2 linked regions of the Drosophila melanogaster genome follow. The protein of the gene in region 2 interacts with the protein of the main gene of each other region in a pairwise test. Each region holds a gene or a part of one and is shown on either strand. Other genes may lie near its edges.

Evidence for each region. Proteins that work in one complex are often made in the same cells at the same time.
Region 1: the proteins of Nha2 (region 2) and CG12158 interact in a two-hybrid assay, tested with the Drosophila melanogaster proteins (one large-scale study listed by BioGRID).

What each region holds. Positions count from the first base shown.
Region 1 is NT_033778.4:9,359,697-9,364,485, forward strand, and holds CG12158 (uncharacterized protein), read right to left. Parts: upstream 3,211-4,789; 5' UTR 3,194-3,210; coding exon 3,140-3,193; intron 3,086-3,139; coding exon 2,954-3,085; 3' UTR 2,878-2,953; downstream 1-2,877.
Region 2 is NT_033777.3:22,994,004-23,002,358, forward strand, and holds the start of Nha2 (Na[+]/H[+] hydrogen antiporter 2), read right to left. Parts: upstream 4,526-8,355; 5' UTR 4,178-4,525; coding exon 4,162-4,177; intron 3,783-4,161; exon of another isoform or gene 3,781-3,782; coding exon 3,511-3,780; exon of another isoform or gene 2,451-3,510; intron 1-2,450. Other genes in the region: CG34375 (uncharacterized protein), read right to left, coding at 6,449-7,578.

The sequences.
Region 1 (4,789 bases), on a different chromosome or scaffold from region 2:
ACGAAATGCCTGCTCTACTTTTAAAGCGTTGTTTTGTGCTATACCCTCTTTTTCAGGGTGACCACGCATTTCAAGGTTTAATGTAGGGGGAGGGTTTGATTTAGGGACAGTGTTTGATTTAGGGAAAGTGTTTTCTACCGACTCGCCCTTAATTTTTTCATTTTTATTTTTAATTTTTTCTAACACCATCATTATTAAATCATACTGCTTCGCGTTAAAATATTCATGATCGACAACGCCGATCTTTAACAAATTGCTATGATTAGCAATGAAACATTTTTGAAGCTCATTTAATTTTAGAATTTCTACATCTGTTAATGTTGGTTTTACTTCCAACTTTCTAATTTCCAAAATAATTTCGGACTGCTTCTTAAGGAATTGAATAGTCTTTTCTGACATCATTTTGAAAATTTTTTGTAATTTCTTAATATATATAGTACGTGTATATGTATTTTATATGTATTTATATATATATGTGTGTTTGGATAAACAGAAAATTCTTGTTTTGACTTAGCTGATGTCGTTGTTGTTGCTGCTGCTGTTGCTGCTGTTGTTGCTGCTGTTGCTACTGCTGTTGCTGCTTCTGCTGCTGCTGTTGTTGCTGCTTCTGCTGCTGGTAGAGGCTCCTTTGAATTTGACTTCCTTCTCTTCTTTAAGGCTCCGTCGATGTTTAAAGATGATTTTTTTTTTTTTTGGCACGTTTTATTATTTTTGTAGTCCAGTCAGATTTTTTGTTTTTTAGCCATTTATTTCGGCATTTATGCTCTTTTGGCATATACACTGCACTCTATTTATGAGCTGATTTAATGCTATTAGAGCATTTATAAGGCACTGTTTTCAGGCACTTTTTATTTAATTTATGCTCTTATGGCATATACACTGCACTCTATTTATGAGCTGATTTAATGCTATTAGAGCATTTATAAGGCACTTTTGTTATGCACTTTTTAATTTCACAATTGCTGATGTATGGCCTCAAGCACGCCTTACCACAATTTATAATGGTACACAAAGCAACCTTTAGCTATAGACTATAAGGTGCTTGTTTTAAAACATAAAAGATTCTTTTGTATCTTTTGCTTTTTATATTTATACTCTGTTCCTTACCTTTGGTAGGGGGAAACAAGAGTCACTTATTTTTGCTACCTTTAGCTGTAAGATGCTTAAAGGAGCTGGCCTTTCTCTGAGTTCCTTACCTTTGGTAGGGGGAAACTGCAGAGTCGATTAAAGGCTCGATTGACCAAATGTAAAATCCCAAATAAGAAGACTTTACTCGTTGAGTTTTTGTAAGAAACTTGATTTTATTTGGAAATATCTTCGGTTTAAATAGGTGACATGAGAATCGCATCTTAAAGTAAATGGCCTACGCAGAGGCCTACGTAAATAGTCCCCGCCTTATCGAGGTCCCACGCTCGGGCACATCTGCCTATCTTGAGCGGCGAGGACCTTATCTGTGGTCTCCCACTAAGGGACTATTTTAGGAGGCGGGGAACGATCTCAAGTGACTGACTCATGTAGTGTGCACTTAAATTACATGTTTTTGAGCAATGCACCCATGTCGCCTTAGATAACAAAATCCTAAATATAATTTATCGCTCTCGATTCATTTACATAAGATATGAACGGAGCCCAAAATTGTAAGTCTTTAAATATATTCGTGTTCATGTGTGAACAGGCACACAGCAAAAAAAACGTAACATTTGATTTACATTTAGGATGATTATGCAAATCATTCAGCTTACAAAACAACAGATTGATTTGTATCAGCTCCAATCAAATTTGCGTTCATTAGCCACTTGCTATTATTAAAATACACTGATTTAAGGACTAAATCCTACTACCCTAAGTAATGTAAAATTCTGAAATATATTTCCTATTTTATGACATTTGTAATACCACTCCAAGTCTAAAATGTAAATTTCATTTGTTGCTATTAATCATAGTTAACAAGAGGACTGGAAGAATTTACTTTAATTTAAAATAAGGGATAATAATGGCCATTTTCAGTGCTTCCCTTCCCTGTGAGACTCTACATATGTACATACATATGTATGTATGTACGTATAGTATGTATCCTTTTTGACTGATAGCGATAGCATAACTTTTTCGGTTAGTCTCCGAGGTGCATTCACACATGGCTGCATTTCAGTTGCTGAAGTAGAGCGGCTTAGAAGGTGTTTTTCCGGGAATTGCAAGGGATGTCGGTTGGGAGGGGATTGGGTTCTCCGGCGACTTTGAACAGAGGGTTAGCTGCATCCAGACTCCGGCAGTCATAATGCAATTATGCACTGCCTGGCGGCACAGCTCCTTTGGTACGAGTAATAAGCATTTGCATTTTCACAGAATGTAGAACACAAGTCGCTGAAGAAGTTGCGCTTTGTAGGTTTCCATCGCTCCGAATAGCCCGGCATTGAAACCCCTTTGTAACCCCTTTCCTGGCTCATCAGCCGGAATGGACCTATGGCCATGTGCGCGGGGTTGAGGGGTGAGTTTCATGCTCATAATTTGTGCACTTTATTAATAAAGTTTTCCAAATTGGCTTGGCCCAGACGCAGTGCAAATACACAAAGCGAGGAGGAGAATGAATATACAAAAAAAGTGTATAACAATTGTAAAACAATATGGCTCTAAGAACTTGTGTAAAACATAACATTTTTTTTAGTCACATACATAAACAGAAACGCGGGCCTATATTTTCAACTGATAGTGGAAGTTTTCAGAGCCTTTAAGATGACAAATCTATTCAGTCATGTTATTTTCCCTTCGATTTCAATTTGCTTTAAGATTCTACCCTCGAATTTCTCTTTTCCCTTTGACCATTAATATCGAGCTTGCCTTTCTAAGCTTACGGGGTTCAAGAAACGAAGTTTTTAGTTTGCTGGGGAAAGTGTTTATTTAAGTAACTGGGAAAGTGGCGAGGAGGTGTGTGTCCCCCTCCAGAAATATCCCAGTTCTAGTTGTTCTGCCCGCTTTGTCCTTGTCCACTCTGCTGGTTGCCGTTTCCATTGCCATTTGGCGGTCTTGGCGGCTGTCCCTGCGAATGTCCATTTTGGCCCTGGGCGGCCACCTGCAGCGGCATTTGTGCCTGGAAAACCTCTGGTTAGGCCAAGTGGATGATTGAAAACCCTTCAACTCTTACCAAACCCACAGCCAGAATTAGAAGGAAGATGCTGAACAATGCGAACTGCTTCATGTTGAATTTGAAACTAGTAAACTAACAACACATGTGGTCTTTTATAGTCATACAGCACAACTGCGGTTCCCAAGAGATTATAATCCAGTGCAATTAACCATCGCAGTGAACAAAATGGCAAAATCAGTTTGTATGTTAATAATGCCATTCTGTATTATTTTGCTCGCTCGAATCTGATTTATAATGTCGTAATTGCGTGTGACCCGATCTGATCGCATATACAATATATTAAAACGACAAAATAACTCCAAAGGGGAGCCATCATTTTGCTGTTTAATTGGAAAAACAAATTTGAAAAAATTAGCCAGAATATCTCTCAAATGTCACTAAGGTCATCATATCATAGCTATAATTAACTAAAAATGTATAGATTGAGCTCTAAATTTAATAACATTTTGGACACGCCAAAACAAATACGTTTTGCGAAAAATTAACTTGGATGGTAAGAATTTATAAGTCAACATATAGCGATCTGATTCACACTCTGACTTCAAAAGCTATATTGATTATAAAATATTTGGGCGTTTTATCTTTGATAACATCAGAGCGTCATAAGCAGTTACTGAAAAATAACCACTAGGTGGAGCTCGTGTGCACTCACGGAAGCAGTCGGAGTAACAGGTATCTGATATTCGATACTTTTGACACTGTCTCTGGTTTTTTGTATCTTGTCTTGGTAAACTATTTTCCTAAAATATTCCAAGTGGCATATTAAATTTCCTTAGCCTCGCACTTTACGAAGCTTTCGAAATCAATTCATTTAGGCACTATTACATTTTCATAAAGTTTGTCTAGGCAGAGTAAACCGTCAATTATTCAAACTGGATTTCCTATTGCTGCTCGGTCTTTTAATTTGAGCGTATGCTCAAACAATCCAACACACCAGCCACCCATATGCCACCATTCTTTGACTGACACTACACGTTTTGAAAGAGATTCGCACACCACCCACCATCCACCTGCCATCCAACTGCCACCGCCCATTCACTTGCCCCTCGCCATCACCTTGGGGGCATGGTCGGGCAAAGCAATTTCGCTCGGCATTTTCGAGCGTTGAGTGGCAAAATGTCTTCGGTTTCAGCTTGAGATTAAATTCTGCCGAACGTTGGCCAAACAGAAACAAGACTTTCTAGTTTACACAACAACGATGGGTCCCGCCCGCCGATTCACCTGTCACCACCTATGGGCACATCGATGTTTGCAGACTGAAGGAAGTGCATATAGTTGAATTATTTAGTTACAATTGATACAAGTATAGGTAATTTCTAATGTTAAGTTGGGAGGCATTCTTGAAATTAATCTTCTAAGAACTCTATTACAATAATTTTGAAAAATTAAAATAAACTATAAGAAACATACATATGCGTATGATAGTAACAACAATGCAAGCAGTTGCAGAAATAATTTTTAAAAATATTATAAACGACTTTGTGCAGATTTCTTACTGTGTACTTGTGTGGGTTTTTTTCGGTTAATAAATGTCCCTGCCACAGCGAAATATGAATATTGAATATGCCCATAGTCGCGAACTGAGCGGCTGAATAAACCGCAAGCGAGTGGCGAACCCATAACGCCTTATAACCATTTCGGCACTTT
Region 2 (8,355 bases):
TGTACGCCCTGCAAATATTTGCCATTTCAGAGGGGCTAAACTCTCGGTTCAGTTGGATTTCGGTTGAGTTGATTATGGCTGCGAGCTTATTGATTATTTACCAGTTCAATGCAAAGTTCGCGTTTGAACTACAACAAATATTTAAGTTTTGCTAATTAATTTAAAATATCTACCCGCCCCTAAAAAACCGAAACTGAAATGGCGCTCGGGTGAGGGGAAAGTGGAAGGGAATGAAATGATAACAGAGGCAAGATTTCTTCTCCATCTTTTTGAATTATGTGCCTCATTTAAAAGTTTTTGCGGCACTTACTTTTACTATTTTTTTCCATAGCTGCCTGGCAAAAAAAAAAAAAATGGTGCATAAATTGTGCAAAGGTGTCGGCGAAGATAGCGTTCAGGTATTGTAAGGCAGCACTTTCGGAGGTCCTGCCGCTGCTGTGATATTTCATATTTCACATTCATGCGCTGCACTCGAGAAAAAGGGGAAGCCGTTGAGCCAACTTGAACTGCAAGTTGGGCAGGTCATTAAGGCTTCATTGGACGCCGCCCCATTGATTATTACCTTTGGCAGTTTCCGGGGCCACGACCACGCCCCCCTATCACTGCACCAATCCCATCCGCCCACTTTGCCCGGGGCACTTTTTTGGCATTTTATCTTGTCATATTTTCTGCAACTTTCAAGTGACCAGGCACGAAAATAATGCAAAAGTTATTTTAAGCCAAGGCACTGCGATGCCTTTCGCATTTCGCATTTCGCTTTTCAATTGCCCAAGAAGTTTCCACACAAATTATGCCACTGGTCGCAAGAAGCGCAGCAGGAGCCGGAGCAGGACTCCTTCGCAGAATGTGCTGATGGAAAAAAGTAATGGCCATATCCATGGAGCTCCAGTTACAGTTGCAGCTGCATCTGCAAAGTTTTTGTCATCCGCTTGTCATGTGCGGACTATTGCGTACGAGTGCGAATCTGAGGTGTTAATTGGAAGCGAGGCAAACACTTTTCCAGACGACGTCGGCCCGAAAACTAAACAACTTTGAAAAAGTTCACTTAGGTCTAAGGATGGAGAATTTATAGTTCTGCTCAAAGTTGAACGAAGTTTTTTTTTGCTGTCACTTAACATTTAGATTGTTTTTTCAGCTAAAAGTGCCATAAAAAGTGCTCGGCAAGACGGTCTACTGAATGTGTATCCCCAGTAATTTATATCAGTTATTCAACTATTCATTATTTACAGGCGAACGTTAGGTGCTTTTTCAATATGTTTAAACGGAAAATTGCGCTCGCTGATGACAGAAGTCCTTATTCTCCTTATTCCGTGCTCTTCCACGCCAAGGAGCCCGGAGTTCCTGCTGTCTGAAGTCTGAAACTCTTTCTGCGTCTGGGGCGTACTTATATATCAAATCACTTTTCCCGTACTCAGAACACATTTATTTTATTTATGTTTACTTAAGCGTACCACCTTTTAACTATGCCAGCCGGCATCCTTGCCGCGTCCTGAATCCTGATGCCGACTTGCAACTCCACATGCAGCGCGCATTCGGAAAATAATTTCTTTGCGTGGAAGAAGATTGCATTCCGTTGTCACGCACTTCCTGCCAAGAGATGAACTCACGCCCCAGCGATTCGCATCGAATTTAGTGCTCATACATCGCAAATCAGTGGAAACTGGCACTTTCTTGGCTCCGGGCTGGTAAACTATATAAAAATGGTAGAGAAATGAGGTCACAAAGCGCCATTCAGCGCCATGCTGGTAAATAAAAGAGCCAGAGACAAATTGAAAAAAAAAACCCCCGTTGCAGCTCGGCAAATAAGCAGCCAAAGTCTGACAGGTGGTCAAAGGTTAAGTGCGGGAGGGGCGACTAAGTGCAGTTTTAGTAATTAGCTGTGGCGCAAGTGCAAGTGCCTGCAAATCCTTCAGATTTAGCCAAAGTATTCAAGCCTCCAAAGTGGGCCAACACAGCTGCGAAACGCACCAGCGCCAATTGAAATGGCGTCGAAAGGGTTTTCGTGACGGTTAACATTCTACCATTCATTTGGCAATCATTATGCTGAGTCACAGTCTAGCTGGCATTTATAAATGTCGCACACTGCGTATACGTAATGAACTGACTTGCACACACACACACACAGGCGCATGAGGCGAATGCGCAATGCACTGCATTTATCAATAGACGAGTGCATGTTTGTGTGCCAAGCGTATATCATGTTGGCTTTAGTTAACAGAAATGTCACCGTTTCACTCACAAGCAGAAGCGACAGGTGAAATGTGGATGGGGCAGGTGGATGGTAGGGCTGTGCCATTCAAGGTTGAGCTTGAGGAATTGCCCCAAACGCTGCATTTAAATGGAATTTATTTAATATAAACGAGTGCCTGCACATGCGAGCATTAGTGCTGCCTGCAGCGGTGCGCAAACTTATTTAAATATGACTTCCACAGTCAAATCAGAGTCAGACGCGAAATGGAAACGGGCATCGGAATCGGAATCGGAATCTGAATCAGAATCAGTGGTGCACTCCGAATGTGAAAGCGAATAGCAAATGCGAAATGAATGCACAGGAAATGAGCCCCGGTTAATGCATATTCATGGGAACATACTTTGCCGAGAGCCGCGGGCTTTTGCCACTCGTGTTAGTTGTATGATTGCGGGCATTTGGGCGCAACTAAACTGGCTCATTATTCGTGTGAAAATGCCACAATTGCGATGGCCCAAAGGGAAGTTCTCCCCAATTCTCCCAAAAAGTTGTACAATGGACTGGTGCGAAAACCCGCATTTGAACAGATGCAAAACAATTGCTGCTCTGGGAGTTTCAAAAATACTAGCTACTCGGCTGTGGGCGAAAAACCAGCAAGGGCCACCTGCCAAAACAGAGGAGCGTAAACAAAAAGCTCGGCCAACGAAAGTGGTCCACACACATGGCCAGCAGGGCACAGCCTTGCATATTTCCAGAAATCAGAAGGAATGTGTAGGAAATGCCTGCCTTTGAGTTTGAGCCGGGACGGTAGATGCACTGGACTGTCAATCGCAGACACTCTGTCGTCAATATGCGGAAATATTACGTATACGCCCCTGTGTCCCCCGCCCGCCTTCGCCATCTTGTGCAAGATGTGATTGTGCGGTTCACTTAAAATCGAAATGCCTCAATCAGCTCCTGCCAGTTGAGAGAAAAAGCTGTGATTCTGCCAGGATATCTCGACGGCGAAACAAAAACTTTGCATAAACAAACTATGAATACTCGTATATGTGCTGAAGTGCATATGTGCATATCTGAGCACGCATTGTGCACTTGGCTGTCGGAGCCACTTCGCTTGGCTGGCCAACAAAGCGTTGGCATGGAGCTGTTCCACTGGATGTCTCTGTCTTCAGCATCCTTTTTGCCGTCCTGTCTGCGGGTTGTGTGCACACTGATCCGGGGAGCTGGTTGCATAAAGGCAAGAATTTCCGTAACAAATACTTTCGTTCCGCATTTTTCGAATTTCCCCATGACGACGCGGTGCAATTAAACATATCACTCACCTTCGATGGCGCTTGGCGCGGTGCTTCCATGGGCACGAGGGGGCACCTGTGGCTTGTCGCCAAGGAGGTGCTCCTTTTCCGGCTCCAGGATGCTGGCGGTCACCGTTTCGCTGGCTCGACGCAGCATATGCAATGGAGTCAAGTTCGCATCACGATCGCGTTCGAAATCTTGCTGGCAGGAGGACATTTGATACGAGTCCTCGAAGGGATTGCTGCTGCGAAAGGCTTGCAAGGGTGGACCCTCACTGCCTGCCACTACATCCAATATATCTAAAAAAAAATATATATATATATATAAATTAATTTGTATGATATTAAAATTAAAATCGCTTTATATTCATACTTTTTTCCCACAAAAAAAATTGACTCAAGCTATTTGGTAACATTTTTAATTACGCATGATAGATAAAGCCGAAGGGTTGCTAATCAAACAAAAAATATTGATAATTCCATTCTACCATTCTTATTTTCCAGTCCCAAGTATATAAATAAAAGAGTTAATTTCCCAACAATTTGACTTGTGGAAGCCCGAACATATTTGCACACGATTTATTTATTGGCACTTGGGCAAAAAGTGGCATTTAATTGATTAACCATAAACTCGTAAATTAACGCCGAAAGTGAGTATCGAAAGCTGCCAGAATCGCTTACCGGAATCGCTGCTCATGTCGAATGTCGGCGAAATCCAGAGAACAAAACAAAACTGAGTGATTGAGTGAAAAAAACGCGGAAAATAATGCCAAAGAGCGACAACTGCTGACGCAATCAGTACGATGACGTAGTCCAAATGGCTATTCTTGGCTCAAAATTGACGAGTGCCAAAGAGAAACGCCGCGGTTTGAAGAGATTGGTTAGCTGCGAATCGAGTGGATATATAGTATATAGTATAGTATATGCAGGGAACGGAACACGCGCGACACGACCGGCGGAAAGGCGGAATGAAATAGTGTAGTAGCCCCGGAACTTGAGCACTTGGAGCTTCTTTTTATTACAGCTCATGCACTGGCAAATATTTGCCAAACGCATTAATTAGAAAAGCAAAAGCCATTTAAACAAGCAATTGCCGATTCGCGCAGCTCCAGCGAGCGCTCTTCGATTAAAACTAATTGGCAAACAAACAAGCTCTGCGGAAGGCGAACCTTCTGTTTTCATTGCTGTCGAGCGAAAAGTGCGGAATGAGTTGGTTTCTGGGTTGGGTGAAATGAGGGGTGGGGGTGGGGTCTGTTTGGAAGCACTTACATATTTATAAGGGGTTCGTTTATCTGCGATTCAATATGCCCATAGTTTTCTAAGGCGCAGCCAATTAGCTGATAAATAATTGTCATGTAATCATAATTTATCTGAACTAGATAAGGCGCCGAATAGCCGCGTTATTAATAGACCTCTAATCATAGCGCATTTCCCATGTGTGAGTGTCGGAATGATTAAACGCTTTCACTTTTTTTTAGGGAAATGTGCGCGACCTGCCCCATTTGAGCTCTATCATTGGGGCGGCAATTCTGTGCCATAGATGGCGCTTTAGTTTGCCAGCTGCGTTTACATGGTATTAAAAAAAAAACTACCTTATATTGTTTTTATTATTAATTATTAATTTTTGTGAGCTTGGAAAGCAATTATATTTCCTTGAAGTAAAAAGAGTTTCGCTTGTCTTGCAAATTGTTTTTCTGACAATTTGCATTTTGACGTTGCTCATCATATTGGGCGCCGTGGCCACTCCCACGCCGTGGCTGTAATTTAATTGCTTCGCTGGAATATTTTTAATTTACCTGATGGACAAACCAGCCCCATGACAAAGATAACCAATCGCAGTGACGTCACCACCATTATCCAGTGCTCCAGTCAGATCATCTCCTCATCAGGTGCCACACGTTGTTGCGCAAAAAAAGTGTCGTTTGCGAAAATATTTAATTTATTTTAACTATGCACACACACTTTTTTGCACTGTATGGAGTTGCAGTTGCACTCTCACTCTATAAGATGGCCATTATGACGACGATGATGATGACTATGATGATGGCTCAAAAAAAACAGGACATTGTGAGGTGCGGGGCGCTGCAAAAAGGATAATACAACTTTCTCGCTCTATTTGCCACGCACACACATGTTGTTACAGTGCCGTGATTTTTGTTGCATCAAATTGGAATTTTTTCCTTAAATATGGTAAACATCGATGGGGCAGAGATTTATGTATAGTGCAGCGGCGCGTTGATGAAAATGACTCGCCGCTGCATTGACCGTGTTTACTGTTTGTCAGACAGGGCAGCAATTTACGCCCACATGCAAAAAACATTAATTTGCATGCAAGTCAATTATCAGGAGGCAGCAAACAGACAGGCGCTAGTTACCAGTTTTCAGTATTCAGTTTTCTGTTTTGAGTTTTCAGTTTTCAGTTTTTCAATTTCTTTTGCACAAACATTGGTGTTATTATTCCGCCATAAGGATGCAAGGACTAATGGAGATACTCTTGAAATGGGTCATGATATTCCAAAAGAATCGCATATGGCGCAGAAAGATTTATTTTGTTTTTCATTAAAGTACCATACAAACCATTAATTTAGCTCGCTACTCTTATAGAGCATCTGCAGGTTGTTGAGCTCAACGTGGACACTCAATGGCGAGGACTTTCAAACTGCCAGGCCAGCACATTTCTAAATGTTTTTATTAATTAAAAATATTGCAAATTAAACACATTTCCAAATTGCGTTTTGCATTTTTCGTATAAATACGCGGTCGATGGAAAAAATGCAAATATAATTTACAAAGCATACATTTCACATTTTATTCTTATTTTATGTTCATTGCATTTTGGTTTGCTCTATCGCCGCTTTCGCAGCCATCAGTTCTTAAACTTGCCTCAAAGCTCTTAAACACGATTACTACCTGCTAATTAGCTTAGAATACCTATGTTTTGGGACCAGTCTTGGGTGCATGATGGGGTCTACCTGCTTTTGATGGTCACCTCGCACTTGGCAGCCAGATTGCGGAGGGTGAGGAACTGGCCGGATGCCCTAATCTCCGGCCAGCTGCACCGGAGCGAGTGAGCAGGTCCCAGGAATCGGTGGCCCGGAGTCTCGATGACAGTCTCGAAAGTGGGTCCATGTGGCAGGTGGTCTAGGTGCCACAGGAAGACGGCGTGCTCATCGCCGCCGCCGATCGCAATGACAGCCAAGAAAAATGTGTGCACTCTGACGTGGCCAAAAGTGGAGGACTCCTCGCTCAGCCGCAGGCAGGCCACGCCCTCCAGGGGCAGCTGGGGGCGGACGTGCAAGCGTTCGCCGAACGTGCCGTAGATTTGCAACACTGCCAGCCGGTGGTCGCCGCTCAAATGTCGCAACAACTGCCATTCCCGCCGACCTATTGACCCCGCCTCCAGTGGCAGCTCCTGATTTACTCCGGCTGCCGGCGCCTGTTTATGGCTCCCCGCTGATAAGGATGCACCTCCCGAGTTCTCAACCACCGCCAGCGCCTGCATCGCGACTGTTGACAATTTGTTGGCCACTGGCTGGCCAAGTTGGTAACTGTGGCTGCTGCATGATTTCCCAGTTGGGCAATGATAATTTTGATACTCGCTCTCGCTGCTTGCTGACTTCTCATGCCCCAGCTGCTGCCGCTCCTGCTGCTGCTGTTGCTCCTGCACCTGGACACCATTATTTATGGTGGCAACTTCATCGCAGCGCAATCCGTCTTGATCTGGCCCAGTAATCCGCCAACTTTTCTTACTCAACTTTAACTTTGGTTTAACGAGCATATTGTTGTGACCTTCCTCCGAAAAGTGCTCGACAGCGGCCTCCTGATGCTGCACTTTTATCAGCGTGCAACGTGGCAGGACAGCCTCCTGCACCGCCTGCTCCTGCTCCTGCCCCTGCTGACTCTTTCTTCTGATTTCCCGAGGACTTTGGTCCACCAAAACTGTTTCGAGTTGCCTGGAGATTTGCTTGCCGCACTTGGACTTGCCGGAACTCGTCTTCGCCAGCGCCATTTTCGGTTGATTATGATATTCATTTGTGCACTTGTTGACGCTGCTCAGCTTTCCATGGCCCTGGGAGGCAGCCACCTTGTTGGTTTTCCCTGAAAAGAGGCACCGAAACGGAGGACCATTACAAAAAGTACGAAATGTAAATATAATAAATACAACTGGGACAACTGGATGGATATGCACGCAAGTTGTCCATTTGCGCTCGTTTGTGTTTTGCCCCCAAATCCCTTGACACAAACTCCCTTGAACTTCTTCAAGTGGCAAATGAAAATAGAGCAGAAACTAAGTAAATATCCGCGTACCTGCATCTGTATAAAAATGGTTGAACTATGGCTGAACTATGGGTGAATCCGGGCGAATCATAAAGAATGCACACTTAATGTAGACGCAATAAAAACGCACTAAGCACGGCATAATCTGGGAAAAAACAAAGCGAAGGACCCTGAAGTGGGTAAAAGTGGCAAAAAATGAAGACCAGCAGGGAAAAACAAATGCAGACAACGGCGGAAAATTCTGTTGCTGCTTGTTACCTCCGCTGTAAACTTCACTCCAAGTTAACTTGGTCGACACAGATTGAAAATGGCAACAAGGGCGGCTAAACTTTAAACGAAGCCGCCCAGTGGCAAAGCAAGAAAAGCAACGCCAACAACAATCTTCCGGCAAGATGGCAACGCAGCTAAGCGCGAAAAACTTTAGCAATTTATGTTACATAATTATGCCATAAAAAGAACAACAAGCGAAGATGAGCCATTGCGCTCAATTTCAAGCACTCTTGACTCGGCTCCGCTTTCTCGTCACATTTTTCTTTCATTTGCGCCGCATCTCGGTCGAGATTTAAGTGAAACATTGACACTTGCCGCTGTCGAAAA